Kluyveromyces lactis: one gene and its partners. The protein of the gene in region 4 purifies or fractionates together with the protein of the main gene of each other region. This does not show direct contact. Links are inferred from orthologs where the notes say so. Each region holds a gene or a part of one and is shown on either strand. Other genes may lie near its edges. The genes, in order: NIP1, TIF35, PUF6, FUN12 and RPG1.

Region 1 (4,189 bases), about 1.9 Mb from region 4:
GATAACATACATTTGTCCATAAATGTGTATCATATACATATATATATAGAATGAACCAGCGCATAAACTGTATTGTTACGAGTCAATGTTCGAGATGTTATATGTCTCCAAAATTCAATTAATTGATTTCAAAAACTACGTAATTGCCTACAGTGAGAACTATGTTATATATTATCGATAATGTACAAATACTAGTATTTATTGCAAATGCTAAAACAAAGGTTCTTTGCCAACGACTCTGTCTATTAATATGCGCACGGTAAGTGAACAAAAGAAGGAAGAGCAAATTTTGTTATGTGTATGGAAGGTGAGTGCTACAATTAGAAACTGACCTTATCTGCTGAACGAAGAATGAAAATGTTTACTGGCGTAAACGTTCAGAGTGGTACTTGGTTTCTTTAACTAACTTGATGGCAACTTCTTCTAACTTTGTGATTTCTTCGCCTCTTTCGAAGATAATGTATTCGTTATTTTCATCCAATTTGGCTTTAACTTCGTAATCATTGATGATGTTTTGTGCTACAGCCAAAACCTTTTCGATATCAAGATCAAACAATTTCGATAATTTAGAAATGGATATTTTAGAGTAGAATCTCTTGTAAGTGAAAATGTAAGTTTTCAAAGTTTCAATTTGAACCTTTTCACTTAGTTGGTTGATGATATCATCAGATTTACTCAACAAAGACCACACAGAAATTTTCCTCAAATATTCGATCGATTGTAAGTAATCACCCTTTTGCATTGACTTTGCAGCATAAAGAATGTGATCTCTTAGAGTTTCTGGAGGACCATGGAAAATAGCTTTCTCTGAACTCTCTAGAATACGGCGGATAGATTTTTGGAAAACTGGGATTCTCTTGACCTTAATACCGCTGTAATAAGCTGCCATGTGAGGCACATCAAGTAATAAAGAACATGTCATGTAGACGGTGTCAATTAGATCCAAGTTGATGTGTTGATGGAAAGGAAGACATAATTGTTCAACAGGGGCACCCTGCACGACATTGCTGTTCGCATTAGCTCTTTGTAAACTTTGTTGACCCAAAATTTCTCTTAGATGTGGATTAATACAAAGACCGTTCAAAACTTGGTGACATTCATTTATTAAACCAGCCTTAAATGCAGCCAAACCAAGTTGAATAACACATCTATTGTACAAAATTTGTAATGCTGCATCAGAGCCTGAAATGAATTTAGCAATATCGGAAGAAAGCATTATTTTCTTTGCTGGAGCGTATTCTTGGTTCAATGCAATATAATATGTTTTGTACAAGGTACCTTTTCTGTAGTTGAACACGTTGTTACTCTTTTGTTTAATTAAGAAATCGGACAATTCAGAGATGACCTTGAAGTTGTAATCGGCATCTGCGGAATCTGATTCATTCAAACGAACGAAAGAGGATTCAAGGGACGCAGTTCCTTCACGAATTTGTTTCCATGCAACGGTTTCCATAATAGAGATGAGCTTGTCGGACTTGTAGTAGATATGTTCAAGTCTTCTGTTGAAGACACGGGCCAAAAGTCTATCGCGGTGTTCTTCTGCAGTTACACGTTCAAAGTACAATTGGGATCTGATAATCAAATTGTAAATAGATTGTTCATCTCTCAAACGTTCCATGTATTCACTGGAACGAGTGTCAATGTTCAAAAGGGATTTGCTAAATTCATCGTCCAATCTTTCAACCATAGAGAAGATAGAACCCAAAATTTCCTTGACACCATGCTCATTAGCTTCTGGTTCATCTTCAATGAAATCATTTCTTGGGGCAAATTCAGTAACTTGATAGTGGTCGATCTCTTGTTCCAGCACTTCCAATAAACCATCCAAGTTATCCTTTGATGCTTTCCATTGTTCTAGTGGTTGGTATGATAAGGATACAGATGCATCGAATCTGATTGGAATCAAGTTCAAGTATGTACAGATCTTTTCATATGGAGTCTTGGCAATCTTCAATAGTTCTTCGGTGGTTTTAATTTGTTCTGTGTGGTCAGTGTTTTTCTTACCTCTAGAATCGATGATAATATTCAACGTCTTGAAAAAGTCTAGCTCAGAAATGTTATTTGCCACGGATGCCAAGTCTAAATTCTTCTTACCACTCAAGGAGAATGGAGTAGCAGAGACATCTCTTGAGTCTATATCAGCATCTAAGACAGGTTCCTTGTCAAAGTCCTCTGGGTTTTCTCTGTAAGCCTTAACGGAGGTTTCGTTTTCTCTGATTAACTTCTTAACTCTTTGCTTGGTGGTGTTATAAGCTCTTGCAACTGCCTTATTCTTAATTTCATCCTGAGAAGTAGCAGATACCGCATCTTCAAATCTAGCCAATGACTTCACAAAGATATTAGGTGTACCGTAGTTTTGTTGTTGGGCTTTTGTGTATAATTTCAAAATGGTTTCCAAATGGTTTAATAATGATTCCCAATCTTGTTGGGCTTCTGCGGAATCAATTTTTTGGTAAATAGATTTCATTTCATCCAACAACTTCTCTTTTGCTGACTTCACAACCTTCTTACCATCTTCTTCGTCGGATGAGTCTTCATCAGATGAATAGTTGGTAGATTTCAAGAACTTGTTAGCACCTGAACCACCACCTTTTCTGAATTCTGGCTTCTTGAACCAGTCAGGGCCGTAGGGTTTGCTATCAGAATCATTGTCTTCATCATTATCGGAACTCTCATCAGAGTCGTTGAAGAAAGAGTCATCAGATAATTCTTCCTCACTGGAGGATGAAACTAAATCCTCTTCACTTTGAGATAACAAGTCTTCTTCTTCACCAGAAGACGTTGAATCGTACTCATATGTCTTCAAAAAAAAACGGGACATGATGAATGGACTATCGCTTAACGTTGTTCTATTTCCTTAATACCACGTACTAATCTCAACCTAGTCTCCCTGTTACGACCTGGTGATTCCAACCTACAATTGAAAAGTATTGCTTATTACACGTCTCAACTGAATTTCATCTATTAATTCGATTTCAAACCTTTCAGATTTTCTTTTGAGATGAGCTTTCACTGAGTGAAAATTTGTGAAAATTTTCAAATAATCATGGAACACGATTGGTAGCCGGGTAATGATAAATGAATGTACCATTGCAAAGAACAAAGTGAAGTGGGAGTCTGTCGCCGGTTGATGTTAGGCCAAAATGGACGTCTAACTTTGTGTGATTGCGTATAATCATCGATGATAAATAGGGTATAAAATAATATCGATTTAATTTAGTTATATGAAAAGTGAAATATAGATGTTGCTAAGAAATAAAATAATTTTGAAGCTTTCATACCATATACGATGCCTTCTTGATCGATGTTTTGTGGGCATACTTCGACAACGGGATAGATACATTTATGGTTCATGAAAATGTTCTGCTGTTGTGATATATAAAGTACTCTTTTAATGTTCTTTTTTTTTTTTAGTCCAGGAATTAAAATGGATAGTATCGCAATTTGAAGAATTCAAGTAGGTAATAAGTTAATATCACCTTTAGATAACAGCCGTAGTAACAAGTATGAATGGATCAATTTGCTGAAGGAATGTGTGACCTAAATGTGACATGAAAGCTTCATTTGTATAATTTTGAGTTGTTAATAGGAGACGAAAGGAAACAACAAGTCAACAATTATAACCGGTATCAAATGAGAAAGTGGAAGGGTAAAAAAAATACACACAATCTGTATTGTATGTTAAAGAGAAGAGAAGCTCAACTCAAAAATTAAGAGCTGAAATCACAATCCAACTTGAACTTCAAGTTTCTGTTGGCATCCCAAACACCCCAGTACTTTTCAACATCGGAAATACCAGAAGTATCTGGTTTCCAGTCCTCATCGAAAGCTTCGAAAACGATAACGTTGACACCCCAGCCTCTCATAGCACAAATACCATCAGCCCAAAATTGCTTAGCGTTATCTAGACCTGGGTAAGCACTTTCAAAGTTGGTACCATCGGTTGGCCAGCCAGTTTCACCAACCCAGAATTGAATGTCAGTAGAACCCTTGGTAGTTTGGATAGTTTGTAGAGCTTGCATGATATCGTCGAAGAACGAGTAAGAAGCATTATCCATAGTTTGACCTTGCCAGTAAGAGAAGGCGTTCGCCATGACAAAGTCAGCAGCTTGAATGGCGGTAGCAGATCCACCATCGACCAAAACGTTCCATGAGTCAACAGTACCGACTTGCTTGCCACTGTAAGAGT
Region 2 (2,566 bases), on a different chromosome or scaffold from region 4:
CACATATTATATACTACGTACATCCGCTTAATATCTATGAAAAACGAAATCCACCAACATGTTTCATTGATCGGTTTGAATTTCTGAAAGAGTTAGACGATATATCTTGGAGTTTGTAATATACAGGTAGATACGTAACACACATAGTACTCGAATGTAGTAATTATACACATATGCTATTGTATCGTTCGAGAGCAAAATGGGTCAAAGAATGTCATATAATATAACCGTATGATGCTGAGTGATATGCTCATTTGTTCAACCAGGAAGTAAGATTATTAGGATACACATACGTCACGCTACGCAGAGATATCCCATGTTATGAAAGGAATGGGATAAATTGTAGGGAACAAATAAGCTGTAAGATAAGATGCAACAACTTTGAAGGTAGAAGTAAAGAGACCTTGGTATTGAAATAATGGGTTTAGAACTTAGTTTTGAAGTAGTTTTTCTCTTCAAAAAATACTATATCAGTTTGATCAGCGAGTTCTTACAGTTTATCATTCTTCTTTCTTTGGTTTTGGCTTAGACCATTCTGCGTGTAACATGAAATTCATGAAACCTCTGCCTTCCAATAATTTCAAAGCTTGAGCAGCAATTTCTTCAGTTTGGAAAGTAACGTAAGCAACACCACGGGATCTACCAGTTTCTGGGTTCTTGACGACGAATACTCTAGGAATCTCACCGAATGGGAAGAGTAATTCTCTTTTAAGCACTTCTTCATCTGCAAGTTCGTTAACCTGGGTCAATCTAATAGTCTTTGCATCATCACGTTCTCTTTGGTCTTGGTAAGCATTAGAAGATGGATCACGAGCACCAGCACGTAGGGATGGTGGCACGTATCTGCCAGAGCCAGAGCCTCCTTGAGCGCTCATATCTCCACCACCGATAGCCGGGTCTAAACCAGCAGATGTAGTAGGTTTCTTTCCCAAAGTGTCTTTGTACGGACAATGCATGGTGAAATGCGCACCACCACAAATTCTACAAGTAATTACCTTTTGAGTCGAGTTAGCAGCCTTCTCCTTTGCCTTTTCTTCTTCCATTTCCTTCCAGTTAGGAGACAAGTCTAACTCTAATTCTTCACCTAATTGAGTGGTTGAAATATCTGGTCCTGGGGCAGCTCCCTTATCAGCACCATATTTCTTCCAATTTCTTCTCAAGGCGATGTTCTTGTTAACTTTCTCGGTGACAGTAATTTCCTTAACCTTCTGCGTAACCTTGTACTTCTTACCATCTTGGATTTTGAAACTGATGACGGTTTTGGAACCATCGTCATTCTCGATGATTCTTGGTTCAGGAATAGCTGACATGTTGTGAATCTTTGTATTATCTCCTTAAAAAAATAGGATTGTAGAAAAAATTCCTTTAATTTCTAGACGCGTGTTATACTATCAACAATTAAGAAGCCCAATTCTGATTTGAGGTATGTCAAATATCCTCCTTTCAAGTTATGGGTCTGTAGATAATCTGATCGATATCAATTAATTCTCTTTGAAGAAAAAAACTTCGCACAGATGATAGTCTCAAATTTTTGTTTCAGTTCTTTATTGAAACACGTAAATCGGATACACTTGGCGCAGTATACTCCTTTCTTCTATCAAACAGCTGGATGAAACCCTATGCACCTTCTAGGGTCACCTTACCATTACGTTTATTTTAGCAGGTAACTTAGAACTCATTTGAATTTCCATTTTTTTCTCTTCTCTTTCGCTGATTTTGCCTCTGTCTCTATGCGATGAGCTTTGGAAAATTTTCAAAATTTTCATCAGTAATGTATATCGTGTTGCACGGGTGTAACAGAGATCCGTAAGCTCCAGCACTAATTAGTTACCTTAATTATACCGTACTGTGTACACCAATCAATTCAGTTAATACCTTCTTGTTGATAAAAGCGTAGAGTAACTATATGCGAATACTTAACTTGACTTGTGAATATGTATCTGTTTCACGTGATATGAAGTACGGATCATTTTTATGTATATTGCATATTCATCAAAACGTATGTAGTGATTTGACAAAATTTTGATTATCCATTACTTCTTCTTTAGCAATGTATCCGACCCAATCAATACTGAAAGTAGTGGGAGTTCATCAATTTCTGCATAGGACGGTGTATCATCGGAAAGTATTAAGGGCAGAAAGTAATATTATCCTGCGTACTTCTCTGTCTCAAATTCAAATTCAAGGAATTTCACAGAGCTAAGGATATCATATATAAACTGCAAACGAACAGGAAAACGATGGCCAAGGCTAAGACAAAGACTACAGTTATCAAACTGATATCAACTGCTATGACAGGTGTGAGCCGTCATGTCACGATAAATAGAGCTGCACCATTAGTGACGCAGGTGAGGTACGACCCTGTAGCTAAACGTCATGTTTTGTTCAAAGAGGCCAAGAAAAGAAAGGTTGCAGAGAGGAAACCATTGGACTTCTTACGTACCGCAAGACGTTAATGAATTGTATTTAACAATTTAACCACACCATTTGCATGTATATAGAAAACACTCACACTGCAATAACTACCGTTGAAATAGACGTGATTTAAGAGTTCTATAGTAGTATC
Region 3 (3,855 bases), on a different chromosome or scaffold from region 4:
ACTGTCCCATGCAATTTCAGGGCATTGGTGATCGGTTGTGCTTTACAAGGTATTCAACAATTCTGTGGTTGGAATTCTTTAATGTATTTCTCTGGTACTATTTTTCAAACTGTTGGTTTCGAAAATTCTACTGCAGTGTCTATCATCGTTGCCGGTACTAACTTCGTATTCACTTTAGTCGCTTTCTTTGCGATTGATAAGGTCGGTCGTAGAGCAATCCTTTTGATTGGCTTGCCTGGTATGATGGTTTCCTTGGTTATGTGTGCTATCGCCTTCCATTTCCTAGATATAAAATTCACTGGCGCTGGTGAATCGGAAGTTTCCAATGGTGGATTCAGTTCTTGGGGTATAGTCGTTATCGTATTCATCATGGTATATGCAGCATTCTATGCTCTAGGTATCGGTACTGTACCATGGCAGCAATCTGAATTATTTGCAACATCCGTTAGAGGTGTAGGTACTTCTTATTGTACAGCTACTAACTGGGCTGGTTCCCTAATTATTGCATCTACCTTCCTAACAATGTTACAAAACATAACACCGACTGGTACATTTTCATTATTTGCTGCACTAGCTGCAGTATCTACCGTCTTCTGTTATCTCTGTTATCCAGAACTATCTGGTCTAGAATTGGAGGAAGTACAAACTATTTTAAGTGATGGATTCAACATCAAAGCTTCCAAACAACTAGCCAAGAAGAGAAAGCAACAAAATAGCGAAATGCAAAGGAGATTTAGAGAAAAGGACATGGAAGCTTATCAAAAGGATAAACCCTCCGATGAACTACTTGAAAGTTAATGTAAATGCAGTCATTCCCTCTTATTCTCATACCCGAAGCTACTGTCTTGGTTTTTCAATGAACTTCATATGAAGTTGAGTATATAGATAACCATAAAATCTTTTAGAATTAACAACTATAGCTGCTAAAGTTGTCCACAATTACTACTGTAATATTATCATTGTCATGTGTAAAACTCAACTTGTTTGTGATTTACAATAAAAATCTCGTTAGTTTGAAAGGGTGACATTTACTCATTTCATAATTAACTAACTCGGAAGAGAGAGCTTTCGAGAAATAGAGCTAAATCTTTGAAGCATGTAATAAACTGCCATATTCGGTTTAATCAGCCAAATCCTGTACCAACTGTATATTCCCCCCATCAAAAAAAGAGAGATTCTGGCGAATGTTTATTTGAGTTCTTTCTTTTTAGCATATTATGAAAATTTTCTGAACTTGAAAAAGAAGCGATGAGATGAGATGAGCTTATACAGTAGTAACTGCACTATGGGTAGCATTAAATAACAACATATACATTCTTATTCTCTCTCGTAGGACAATACAGCACTACAGATATGGCAGCCACGTCGAAAAAGTTGAACAAGCGTCAATTGGAATCTAAGGAGTCGAAGGATTCTGGTAAAATTGTAAAAAGAGCTAAAAACATTAGTGTTGATTCTGGCGATGAAGATTCTGATGATGTCCTCCACGGTTTATCTTCAGAAGATGAGCTAGATGATGAATTAGATGATGCTAGCTCAAATTCAGATTCAGACGAGCTAGACAACGAATCTGATCAACTGGATGAATCTGATGAGGATCAAGAAGATGCTGAAGATGAAGAAGATGCTGGAACCGGAAATGATGCAGACAAAAAAGAAAGTAATGGTGTCAGCCAGCATGCCGAACAAAGAAAAACATTAAAGGAGAGAAAACTTCAGCGTAAATCTGGTGAAACAGTCCAGCAGATCAAGTCTTTATGGGAAAGATTACGTGTCAAGAACCCTCCAATTCCAAAGCCTGTCCGTGAAAAGCTATGTAATGAGATCTGGGAACTCTCGAATGATTGTATTGAAGATTTAGTATTGAAGCATGATGCATCCAGAATTGTCCAGACATTAGTCAAATATTCTTCCAAAGAGCGCAGAGAACAGATCACGTTGGCATTGAAAGATAAAATTTATGTTTTGGCCACATCATCATATGGTAAATATTTGTTGGTTAAATTGTTACATTATGGTTCCCGAAAATCTAGACAAATCATAATCGATCAACTACATGGTAATTTGAGAAAACTAATGAGACACCGTGAAGGTGCCTATGTGGTCGAAGATTTGTTTGTTCTTTATGCCTCTCAAGAACAAAGAAATCAAATGATCAGAGAATTTTGGGGTTCAGAATACGCCGTATTCAGAGAATCTCATAAGGAACTTACGCTCGAAGAAGTTTGTGCTTCCAGCGTAGAAAAGAGAAATATTATCGCTAGAAACTTGATTGGTACCATCACTGCTTCTGTTGAAAAAGGTTCGGCAGGTTTCCAGATTTTACACGCAGCAATGAGGGAATACGTCAAAATCGCCAACGATAAAGAAACATCTGAGTTCATCGAACTTTTAGAAGAGAACTTTGCGGAATTAGTGCATACCCCAGAAGGTGCAGAAGTTGCATCTACTTTAATCGCTAAAGCAAATGCCAAAGAAAGAAAGGGGTTGATAAAGACCTTGAAAGAACATGCAATCAAGTTAATTCAAAATGAACACGGTGCCGTTGTTTTCATAACTTTATTAATGACAGTCGATGATACTGTTCTCGTCTCCAAGGCATTTTCCCCACCAATTAAGGAACATCTTCCAGAATTGATTGTTGATAAATTTGGTAGGAGGCCGCTCTTATTCCTACTTTTAGGATTAGATGGTAAATACTTCGGTCCAAATATGAAGAATGAACTACAAAGATACATTAAGATGTCGGAAACTACTTCCAAGAAGCCATTTGACCAAAGAAGACTTGAATTATTAAAAAGGTTCGCACCAATGATTTTATCTGGCGTAAACGAACACTACAAAACCATTCTAGATGAAAACATCGGTTCTCAATTTGTCGCAGATTTACTCGTTAACGATGATGTCTATGAACAACTTTCAGAGTCTGATCAAAAGTTGTTTGCCGAGCTTGTGGACACCGTCGCCATTTATTTCAAAGGTGACATTTCAGAAGAAGACCACCCTATTAACAAACCATTTTCGGCAAGGTTGCTAAAGTCTCTCATTCAAAATGGTAGATACAACGTGAAAGCAAGAAAACTAGAACCTCTAGAAAAAGTTCAGGGACTTGGTATTCCATTTGCTGAAAAATTTTATGAAGACATCATTGATTCCAGCAACCTACTCGATTGGATCAACAAACCCAACAGTTCTTTTACCATTGTGGCATTGTATGAAGCCTTACATGGGACTGAAGAAGGGGAACAATTCGATCATGATTTGAAAAAAGTGATCAAGAAAATAGAGACGAACGATTCAAACAAGGGTGCTCAACTACTTCTAAAGCTAATGAAGCATTGAGTATGTATAGTCAAGTCGTTATATAGTTTGGCTCTAAAATATGTATATTAAAGATGATATAGCTTCTCATCATTGTGGACGAAGGACGTTCTAGTCTACTATTAAGATTCACACTTCCTTAAATGAGACTATCATCTGCGAACCAGAGATAATACAGCTAAGAACATTTATTCCTCAATTCACTAATTACAGCAGTGGCATTGATGGCTTATGAATGACGATACTAAAGAGAAACCCATTTCAACTGCCTTTGAAGTAACCGATGGATTATATGCTGTTTCACCATTAATCGAGAATGTGCCTCATGAATATGAGTACTCATGTATCGAATATTATGGTCAGCACATCTACCTGGGCTCGACTTCAGGAGCGTTACTACACTATTATGAATTAGATGTTGGAAATTTCACACTGATCTCGGAAGTCAACTTCAATGAAGACAGACCAACAGGAATTGATGGCATAACGCTACTGCCGAAAATTGATAGAGCCTTAGTGTTGTCCGAAGGGAGA
Region 4 (3,993 bases):
GACCTTCTAGTGATGTGAGAATACAATGTATCTTTTTCATCAACATGACGACCCCAGATTGGTTGCTGACCGGAAGGATCTTCTAAACGCATTGCAACACCTGCATTGGTTTGACCCTTCTTGACTTCAGTCACAGATTGGTGATTGATTTCCAAGGAAGTGACTCTACCAAGCAACAATGTTATTCTCTCCTTTGTTGCTGGGTCATATTTCACTGCACAGATAGGAGTACCGATCTTCAATGAACCTTCAATGACATCCACACCAATGATCATAGGGCCACGCTTGTTAATGATTTGTAGAGTGTTCAGGACGCATGGGAAGGTAGCGTCACCGATAAACTCAGCACGACGCTTTTCAAGTAGTTCCTTCTGGTAGGCTGTGAAGGCATCGAATAAATGGTAAATAATATCAGCATTGAAAATTTTGATATGTTGTTCTGCAGCATATTGTTCTGCTTCCTTATCAACCTTGACATCAAAGCATAGCATAACCGCTAATTCAGGAGCTTTTTCTAACATAGTACAAGCCTTCATTATATCACGCTTGTAAACAGGACCTAATCCGACAGACATAACAGGAATTTTCATGTCTTTTAAGAAGTCTAATAAAGCTTCTAATGAACCCAATGTAGAAGCTTGAACAACAACACCTCTACCAGAAGTATCCACAGAGTCTAAAAGACCAGTCAAATCTTCCATGACGTCATCCATCATTTCTTCTTCATCATCGTCTGGACCTACAACTAATAATCGGGAACCAGAAACAGCCTTTTCCAAATCATTTGCAGCAATTTTTACACCTAGAGCAGCCTTGACTTCTTTGTGATGTTGATATTCAGACTTCAAACGTAACTCACGTAAGGGTTGAGGTGTCAACAAGGCTCTGATATTCGTCACAATCGGACCGTTCATACCACATAAAACGATTCTGTCACCCTCTCTTAAGTAACCATTAGATAGAATAACATCGATAGTGGTACCGAAACCTTCAACAACCTTCACTTCAAGAATTGTAGCTTCAACGTGAGACAAATATTTCAATTGCTTAGACATTCTCTTTTGAGTCAATTCTAATAGCAACCACAACAAATCAGGAACACCTTCACCTGTAACGGCAGATGTTGGAACAATAGAGACGTATTTGGCTAGGTTGTTGTTTTGGAAATACAATTCTGAGTTCAAACCTTGTTCAGCAAGAGCGACTTTGATGTTGTCAAGTCTAGTTTGGAACTCTTGCTTAACTGCTCGTTCTTGTTTGTCAAAGGAGTCTCTGAAAGAGTTGTTTGGTGTAATTACCCAGTCGTACAATCTATCGATCTTATTCAAGGCAACGATGAAAGGAGCCTTTCTGTCTCTCAATAATCTGATGGATTCAATGGTTTGTTGTTCTAAACCATGCATGATATCAATAACTAAGATGGCGATGTTACACAAAGAGGAACCTCTGGAACGCAAGTTGGTAAAAGATTCGTGACCTGGTGTATCAATGACTAACAAACCTGGGACATCGAAGGTTTGTTCTTCATACTTAGCCATAACTGCGGTTTTTTGTTCAATAGCGTCAATTGGGAAATAAGTGGCACCGATTTGTTGGGTAATACCACCAGCTTCACCGCCTTGAACGTTGGTTTGTCTAATCTTATCTAACAACTTGGTTTTACCAGTATCGACATGACCCAAGATACAGCAGATTGGAGAACGAAGATCTTTCTTTGCTGCTGCTGCAGATCTCTTGGAAGGGATTGGTTGAGAAGCATAGTTTTTGGTAACTTCAGTGGATAATTCCGGAGCTGGAGTAGTAGCATTAGAAGTTTCAGAACCAGAATATTGCTCTTTTTCACTTGTTTCTTCTTTTCCTTCTTGTTCTTCAGGTTCATCGTCAAGAGCCAAATTCTCCCAGTCATCAATCAACGCTTCCTCTTCTTCTTCGACTTCTTGAGTTTCAGTAGCTTTCTTCTTCTCTTCTTCGATTGCCTTTTCGGACTCGATTTGTTCCTTGGTCTTTCTGACTCTTTTACCGTAAACAACCTTCTTTGGTTTTGGATGCTCATCGCCGGATTTTTCTAGACCAGCAACCTTGATGTTACCGGCAGCCAATAGAGCAGCACGTCTGTTTTCAAGCAGTTTCTTTTCCTCCTTTTGTTTCTTAGTTAGAAGTTTACCCTCTGCCTTTAACTTTTCACGCTTAGCTTGTTCTCTCTCACGCTTAGCCTTTCTAGCTTCTTCCTTTTCTTGTTCAGCCTTGGCCAACTTTTCTTCTTCTTCCTTCTCCAATCTCTCTTCTTCTTCCCTGGCCAACCTTTCTTCTTCTTCTAGCTGCTTTTGTAACTCCAATTGACGTTTCAAAGCAGCAAGACCGGCTGGGACCTTCTTCTTTGGTGCAGCCTTTGGTGCCGCACCTTCAGTGGACTTGCCAGCCTCCTTTTCAGCCTTCAGTTTAGAAGTTTGTTCAGCATGAAGTTTCTTGTTGTTTTCCTTCTGCGCTTGTTGCTGAGCCTTCTTCTTTGCGGCTTGTTCCCTCTTCTTCTCCTTCTCCTTCTCCTTCTTTTCCTTTTCCTTTTCCTTCTTGGACTTCAAGACTGGCTTCTTAGTATCCTCGTCTTCCTTCTTGTCCAGCTTCTTCTTAGATTTCTTCAAAGTGGACATAAAATCTTCCTCAATGGCAGATGCATCGGCAACTTCGGTTTCACCACTTGGCTCAACAGAACCATCTATCGAGGGTTCTACTGAAGATTCTTGAGGAACATCTTCCTCATACTCTTCGTCCCAGTAATTCTGTTGATTCTTCTTTGATTTTTTCGCCATCTTGAACTACTCTTTCGGATACAAAGGTTCTACTTTTACAGTTCTTCCGAAATCTTATTATGATAGACAGCAAACAAAGTGTAAAAGAGGGTTATAACAAGTAAAGAGATAATGTAAAATCCTTTTAATTGATCTTACGCAAAACAATCTTTCAAATAGTTTTAAGTTGTGAGAAAAACCTGTACTAAAAAATAAAAAACTGATGAAAAACTTCAAGTTCATGATTATACGTACCTCGATGGAAAGAAAAAAATAACATACTAGATTACCCTGTCTTTGGTGAGGTGCGCCCAAAATTCATCTTTCAGGGGCCAGAAAGGTCCCATTAGCCTTATTTTCGGGGTGAAGACCGGTCGATGCCATTCAGCATCGCTATTTACGATCGGCGTTGAAGATGTATAAAATATCACCTTGGACGGCTTGAAAAAAATTGACAGCTTCATCTTTGTCAACAGTAGGAAGTTCTACAGATATTCACAATCTCATCGCTTAGGATTAATGATATTAGAGTTTCATTATAGTTTGGTTACAGAGGCCAAAATCAGTTAAACGGTTGGAATCGATAGGTATCAGTCAGTATTCCACTGAGGTTGGCATCAAATTATAAAAAAAGGATTTATTTTGAAGAATTTCCTGATCAATATCTGAATTGAAATAAAAGATGTCTACGACAGTAGAGAAGATTAAGGCCATCGAAGATGAGATGGCCCGTACCCAAAAGAATAAGGCCACTTCTTTTCATTTGGGTCAGTTGAAAGCTAAGCTAGCGAAACTTAGAAGAGAGTTATTGCAGGCTGCTTCAAGCGGTAGTGGTGGTGGTGCCGGTGTTGGTTTCGATGTGGCCAGGACCGGTGTTGCTTCAGTCGGATTTGTTGGGTTCCCCTCAGTGGGTAAGAGTACTTTACTTTCTAAGCTGACTGGTACAGAATCTGAGGCTGCTGAGTACGAGTTTACCACTTTAGTTACGGTTCCAGGTGTCATCAAATATAAGGGTGCTAAGATTCAAATGTTGGATTTGCCGGGTATCATTGACGGTGCTAAAGATGGCCGTGGTCGTGGTAAACAAGTTATCGCTGTGGCCAGAACTTGTAATCTACTATTTATTGTTTTGGACGTTAATAAACCATTGCATCATAAACAAATCATTGAAAAGGAATTGGAAGGTGTTGGTATCCGTTTGAACAAG
Region 5 (4,129 bases), on a different chromosome or scaffold from region 4:
TCTGAATGAGATATGCAAGATATTAACCTCTTCCAGCATTCATTCTCTTCAGTCTCAACTTTTCAGCCATAGACATTGGTTTATTGGATACCGGAGCAGTTTGTGCTGGTGCTGGTGCTGGGGTTGGAGTAGAAGGAACAGGGCTAGATCTAGAGCTACCGTTCTTCTTTTCAAGAAGTTCTTCGATTTCTCTTTGCTTTCTAGCAATTTCGTCTCTTTCCTTGTTGATTCTTTCACGTTCGGCACGTCTCTTGGCAAGTTCTTCCTCCTTAGCCAAAGCCTCCTTTTCAGCAGCTTCAGCTTCAATTGCAGCTTGTATTTCAGCAACTTTAGCTTCATAACGTTCCTTACGGACTTGTTCAATTCTTTGCTTCTTAGCTTCTTCTAATTGAGCTTCCTTCAAGGCGCGTTGTTTTTCTAACTCTTCCTTCTTTTCAGCGATAACAGATGACTTGTATTGGTTGAAAGTACTGTAGATTTTGTTCAAACGTTGATGTAGAGCCAATTTCTTTTCATAGTCGGCCTTGGAAGTCTCAATTAACTTCTTCTTGAAATTGTCGTAATTCTCTCTATCCCTCTTTTTTTGCTCTTCAGCGTCCTTTTCTAACAATGGCAATTCCATTTGTCTATAGGCTCTTTCCAGGTGATCTAACTTCTTGAAGGCATAGGTCATACGTTCAGTCAAATCCTTCTTGTTCTTGGCTACTTGTTCAATGACCATTTGGTTGATCTTATCACTTGTTAGGTTCTTGGCTTCCTTTGGATCAATATGAATGACACCATTGGCATTAGTTTCAGCAATCAACTTCTTCATTTCTTGTTCATGGATCGCTTCTCTCTCACGTTCCATCATTTCTTCAGCACGACGTTCCGCTTCTTTCTCCATAGAAGATTCAACAGCAGCCTTTTCCTCAGCCATACGTCTTTGCCTTTCTTCTAGAGCCTTCTTGGCAAGAATCTTGTTTTCTTCTTCGCTTCTCTTCTTGCGTTCAGCGTTACTCTTAGCTCTAATTTCAGCAGCTTCCTTTTCTAACTTGATAACTTCTTCCTTTCTTCTGATCAATTCTTCACGCACAAGTTTGACTCTGTAATAGTAAGAACCATTTTCGTATTCTTCGTTGGCCTTTAAGATCTTGGATAGATCAGTCAACTTAGAACGGACTTCTGAGTTACGAGTGAAGACTTGTTCATTCTGTTCCTCATCAGCATGCGTTTCTTGGGAGGTTTCCTCTTCGGATTCAGAGTTCTTTGCTTCATCAGAAGTGCTAGATTCGGGAACTTCAACAAGAGATGCTTGCCAAGCGTCAAATGGATCTTGGGCAAATGAAACGGTATCAGTTTCATGGTCAATGGAAATACTAACATAATCATCCATAGCAGCTTGGATTAAGTATTTTTCTAGTTCAAAAACAGATAATTCGAAAGGAGCTGGCAGTGACAACATTTCATGCAATTCAACTAAGTGAATAGATGTTTGAGCCTTTGAGACTTCAATGATGGATCTTCTGATGAATAGGTTTCTCAATGGAGCCACGTATTGGGCGAAATATGGCTTTTCAACCAAGTTTGGCAAAAGTGCAGACAATTGAGACTTAGCAGACTTCACATCGAAATTAGTTTCCAATATATTGAAGAATTTCAAAATATCAGCGTCAGCTTTCTCTACGACTTGTTGTTCACCAGCAGCAGTAATCAAATCCTTTCTCTTTGGTTTACTTTCAAGGTCTAGTAAGTCACATAGACGAATTTGAGGATCGAAACCAGCAATTGGTAAGTCATCCAATTGAATTGCCAAAGCGGACAAGACAAATTGAGATGAATAGAACTTAAAGTCTTCTTCGGAAGCATTTGGATTCTTCAAGTACAAATTGTAGAATTTTTCCCATGCAGCAGCGTGCAATAAATAGTTACCAGAGACAAAGAAGATCTTGGCCAAATTTTCGTAGTAGTTGGCCAACACAGAGGGCTTTGGAGCACGCTTCGAGAGACGCATCAAATGATGAACATCTTCAATGGATCTGAAAGCTTCATGCCATAATTCCAATTTAACAGAAACGTTAACTTGTTGGAAACGTTGGTCAGAATAACGTTGCAAAGTGTCAGGATCTGATAAATCGACAGTGTGGTGACCATATCTCTGTTGTTGGTAGTTTGCGGCATCCAAATGTTGACGTAACATTTCAGCTAAACGCTTGAATTCATTCTTACGGTTATATTTGTAACAGAATTGCATGGTTCTGTTAACAACACCCGCATACGTGATTTCCAATTGAGAATTATTTCTCAAGAAATCTAGAGTGGTACGGTAAGATTCCCAGGTAAATCTCAACCAAGCTGAAACATCATCATTGTTGAATCCACCAACAGTTTGTTCTTGTTCGTAAACAGAAACCAACAAATTTTCTGGGGTGACACCACCCTCTAGATCCTCTTCGGCTTGGTCCTTGTTGGATTCTTCTTTGGCATCAGTTTGCGCTTGGATGTTGGTCATCTTAGTTTCGATCAAATCGATGAATTTACGAGCAACAGCACCTACAGAAATCAAACCTTCGGGAGTGTGTTGCATATGCTTCTTGTATTGGTATAAACCTTCCTTGATCATTTTACCCTTCCTCAATTCAACACCAAGTTCCAAGAACTTGAAGATTATAGGTTCCAAAGTGGCAGCATCAGCAAAACGAGACCTTCTTGAAGATAATAAATCAAATAGAGATTGCAACGCAGCCATTGGCTCGCCAACAGAGACTAATTCGTCAGCTCTTCTAATGGCATTCTCAGGACGTAAAGCCGGTGGAGCCATGATGAAATGCTAGTATAATCGATGGGTCGAGAACGGTTGTTATCTACCCTTTCTAAATCAGAGACTAGATCCAAGTATATATCTTTATTTTGCAAGGTGCAATAGGAAGAAGTTTCACATAAATAGACTGAAAAGTTTTTTTTCACTTATTCTCTTTGATCTTCAACGGAAGCATGCTGAAAAATTTCAACCTTCATCAAAAGTTGATATCATTGAGAACGAAGTTGAAGTTTATGTGCTATGTCGCGAGTACATATCACATATGTATAATATATATATATATATAAATGTATCATATTAGAAATGAATAGTATAATTCAAGATGATTGCACCATTAGATCAACAAGTTCATTGACGGGATCCTCATCGTGTCTTGCTGTTTCAATGTTTGTGAGTACTTTTTTCACGCCGACGTTGAGAGTAGATGTAACTTGGGATAATTTGCGGATAACTTCGACTCTACCAGCATCGTCAAGAAATCCGGAATCTGTCATAATGTTATTCAGTTCATCTAGGTTTGATACGTTTGGGACAGCAATTTCGTTGTCGAAACAACTTAGTATATCCATTTGCTTAAGCACCGTGTAAGCGGACGTAGTAGAGATGATAAGCAAACGACGATTATTTGGAGGTTTTCTTTTCAAATAGACCTTGAGTACTTGTAGGATATTATTAGAGAACCTTGGACCAATTGGAACCCAGTCAACTAGAGTCTCTATCGAATCGATAACTAGAATGTTAAGTGGCGATTTGTAAGCATCTCTGAAGGTATTGTCGATGTATGCGATCTTGGCCGTTTCCGACATACCTGCTATTTCTTCAGGGGAAATTAATCTAACAAATGGGAACTCAGACTTCAATGCAATGGCGGCAGCTAAGGCAGTTTTTCCTGAACCTGGAGGACCATGCACTAGTAAGGATACTAGTCTTGATTTGTCTGACTCTCTCACTTGACGGACGTATCTAGCACCGTTTTTCAAAATGTCGTCTACGGAGTTGGAGAACCTAAAGACTCCACCTTCTACGCAAGTCTTCAAATCTTCTTCACTAACACCAAACGCAGGAGTCACTTCATCTAACGCATTCAAGAAATCTTGTCTAGTCACCTTCATGTTTGCAATGTCTTTGGTTTTTAGTTTGGTTGCCCCTTTTCCGATATTTACAGTCTTGTTGATTGCAAAAGAACTAGCACTCTTCACCAAACCCTCAATTTCAGCACCGGAGAAATTCTTCGTGAGTGATGCAAGTTCTTTCAAGCTAACATCATGTGCGAGCATGTTGTTTTCTCTCATTTTCTTGGTTTGGATTTCGAAGATTTGTTCTCTACCT

What was found.
Region 1: the proteins of FUN12 (region 4) and NIP1 purify together in Saccharomyces cerevisiae (affinity purification with mass spectrometry; 4 studies listed by BioGRID). This does not show direct contact. The link is inferred for Kluyveromyces lactis from reciprocal best matches to the Saccharomyces cerevisiae genes FUN12 and NIP1.
Region 2: the proteins of FUN12 (region 4) and TIF35 purify together in Saccharomyces cerevisiae (affinity purification with mass spectrometry; 3 studies listed by BioGRID). This does not show direct contact. The link is inferred for Kluyveromyces lactis from reciprocal best matches to the Saccharomyces cerevisiae genes FUN12 and TIF35.
Region 3: the proteins of FUN12 (region 4) and PUF6 purify together in Saccharomyces cerevisiae (affinity purification with mass spectrometry; 3 studies listed by BioGRID, with this or other methods). This does not show direct contact. The link is inferred for Kluyveromyces lactis from reciprocal best matches to the Saccharomyces cerevisiae genes FUN12 and PUF6.
Region 5: the proteins of FUN12 (region 4) and RPG1 purify together in Saccharomyces cerevisiae (affinity purification with mass spectrometry; 3 studies listed by BioGRID, with this or other methods). This does not show direct contact. The link is inferred for Kluyveromyces lactis from reciprocal best matches to the Saccharomyces cerevisiae genes FUN12 and RPG1.

The regions. Positions count from the first base shown.
Region 1 is NC_006042.1:279,794-283,982, forward strand, and holds NIP1 (translation initiation factor eIF3 core subunit c), read right to left. Parts: upstream 2,822-4,189; coding exon 362-2,821; downstream 1-361. Other genes in the region: BGL2 (glucan 1,3-beta-glucosidase), read right to left, coding at 3,711-4,189. UniProt on the Saccharomyces cerevisiae protein: Component of the eukaryotic translation initiation factor 3 (eIF-3) complex, which is involved in protein synthesis of a specialized repertoire of mRNAs and, together with other initiation factors, stimulates binding of mRNA and methionyl-tRNAi to the 40S ribosome.
Region 2 is NC_006038.1:65,483-68,048, forward strand, and holds TIF35 (translation initiation factor eIF3 core subunit g), read right to left. Parts: upstream 1,311-2,566; coding exon 501-1,310; downstream 1-500. Other genes in the region: MRPL39 (mitochondrial 54S ribosomal protein bL33m), read left to right, coding at 2,241-2,456. UniProt on the Saccharomyces cerevisiae protein: RNA-binding component of the eukaryotic translation initiation factor 3 (eIF-3) complex, which is involved in protein synthesis of a specialized repertoire of mRNAs and, together with other initiation factors, stimulates binding of mRNA and methionyl-tRNAi to the 40S ribosome.
Region 3 is NC_006039.1:1,047,760-1,051,614, forward strand, and holds PUF6 (pumilio-family RNA binding domain-containing protein), read left to right. Parts: upstream 1-1,353; coding exon 1,354-3,342; downstream 3,343-3,855. Other genes in the region: myo-inositol transporter ITR1, read left to right, coding at 1-798; CORVET complex subunit VPS3, read left to right, coding at 3,553-3,855. UniProt on the Saccharomyces cerevisiae protein: RNA-binding protein involved in post-transcriptional regulation. Component of the ASH1 mRNP which transports the ASH1 mRNA to the distal tip of the bud, where the ASH1 protein is translated and targeted to the daughter cell nucleus.
Region 4 is NC_006042.1:2,170,622-2,174,614, forward strand, and holds the start of FUN12 (translation initiation factor eIF5B), read right to left. Parts: upstream 2,808-3,993; coding exon 1-2,807. Other genes in the region: GTP-binding protein RBG1, read left to right, coding at 3,469-3,993. UniProt on the Saccharomyces cerevisiae protein: Plays a role in translation initiation. Translational GTPase that catalyzes the joining of the 40S and 60S subunits to form the 80S initiation complex with the initiator methionine-tRNA in the P-site base paired to the start codon.
Region 5 is NC_006039.1:1,266,388-1,270,516, forward strand, and holds RPG1 (translation initiation factor eIF3 core subunit a), read right to left. Parts: upstream 2,801-4,129; coding exon 23-2,800; downstream 1-22. Other genes in the region: AAA family ATPase SEC18, read right to left, coding at 3,118-4,129.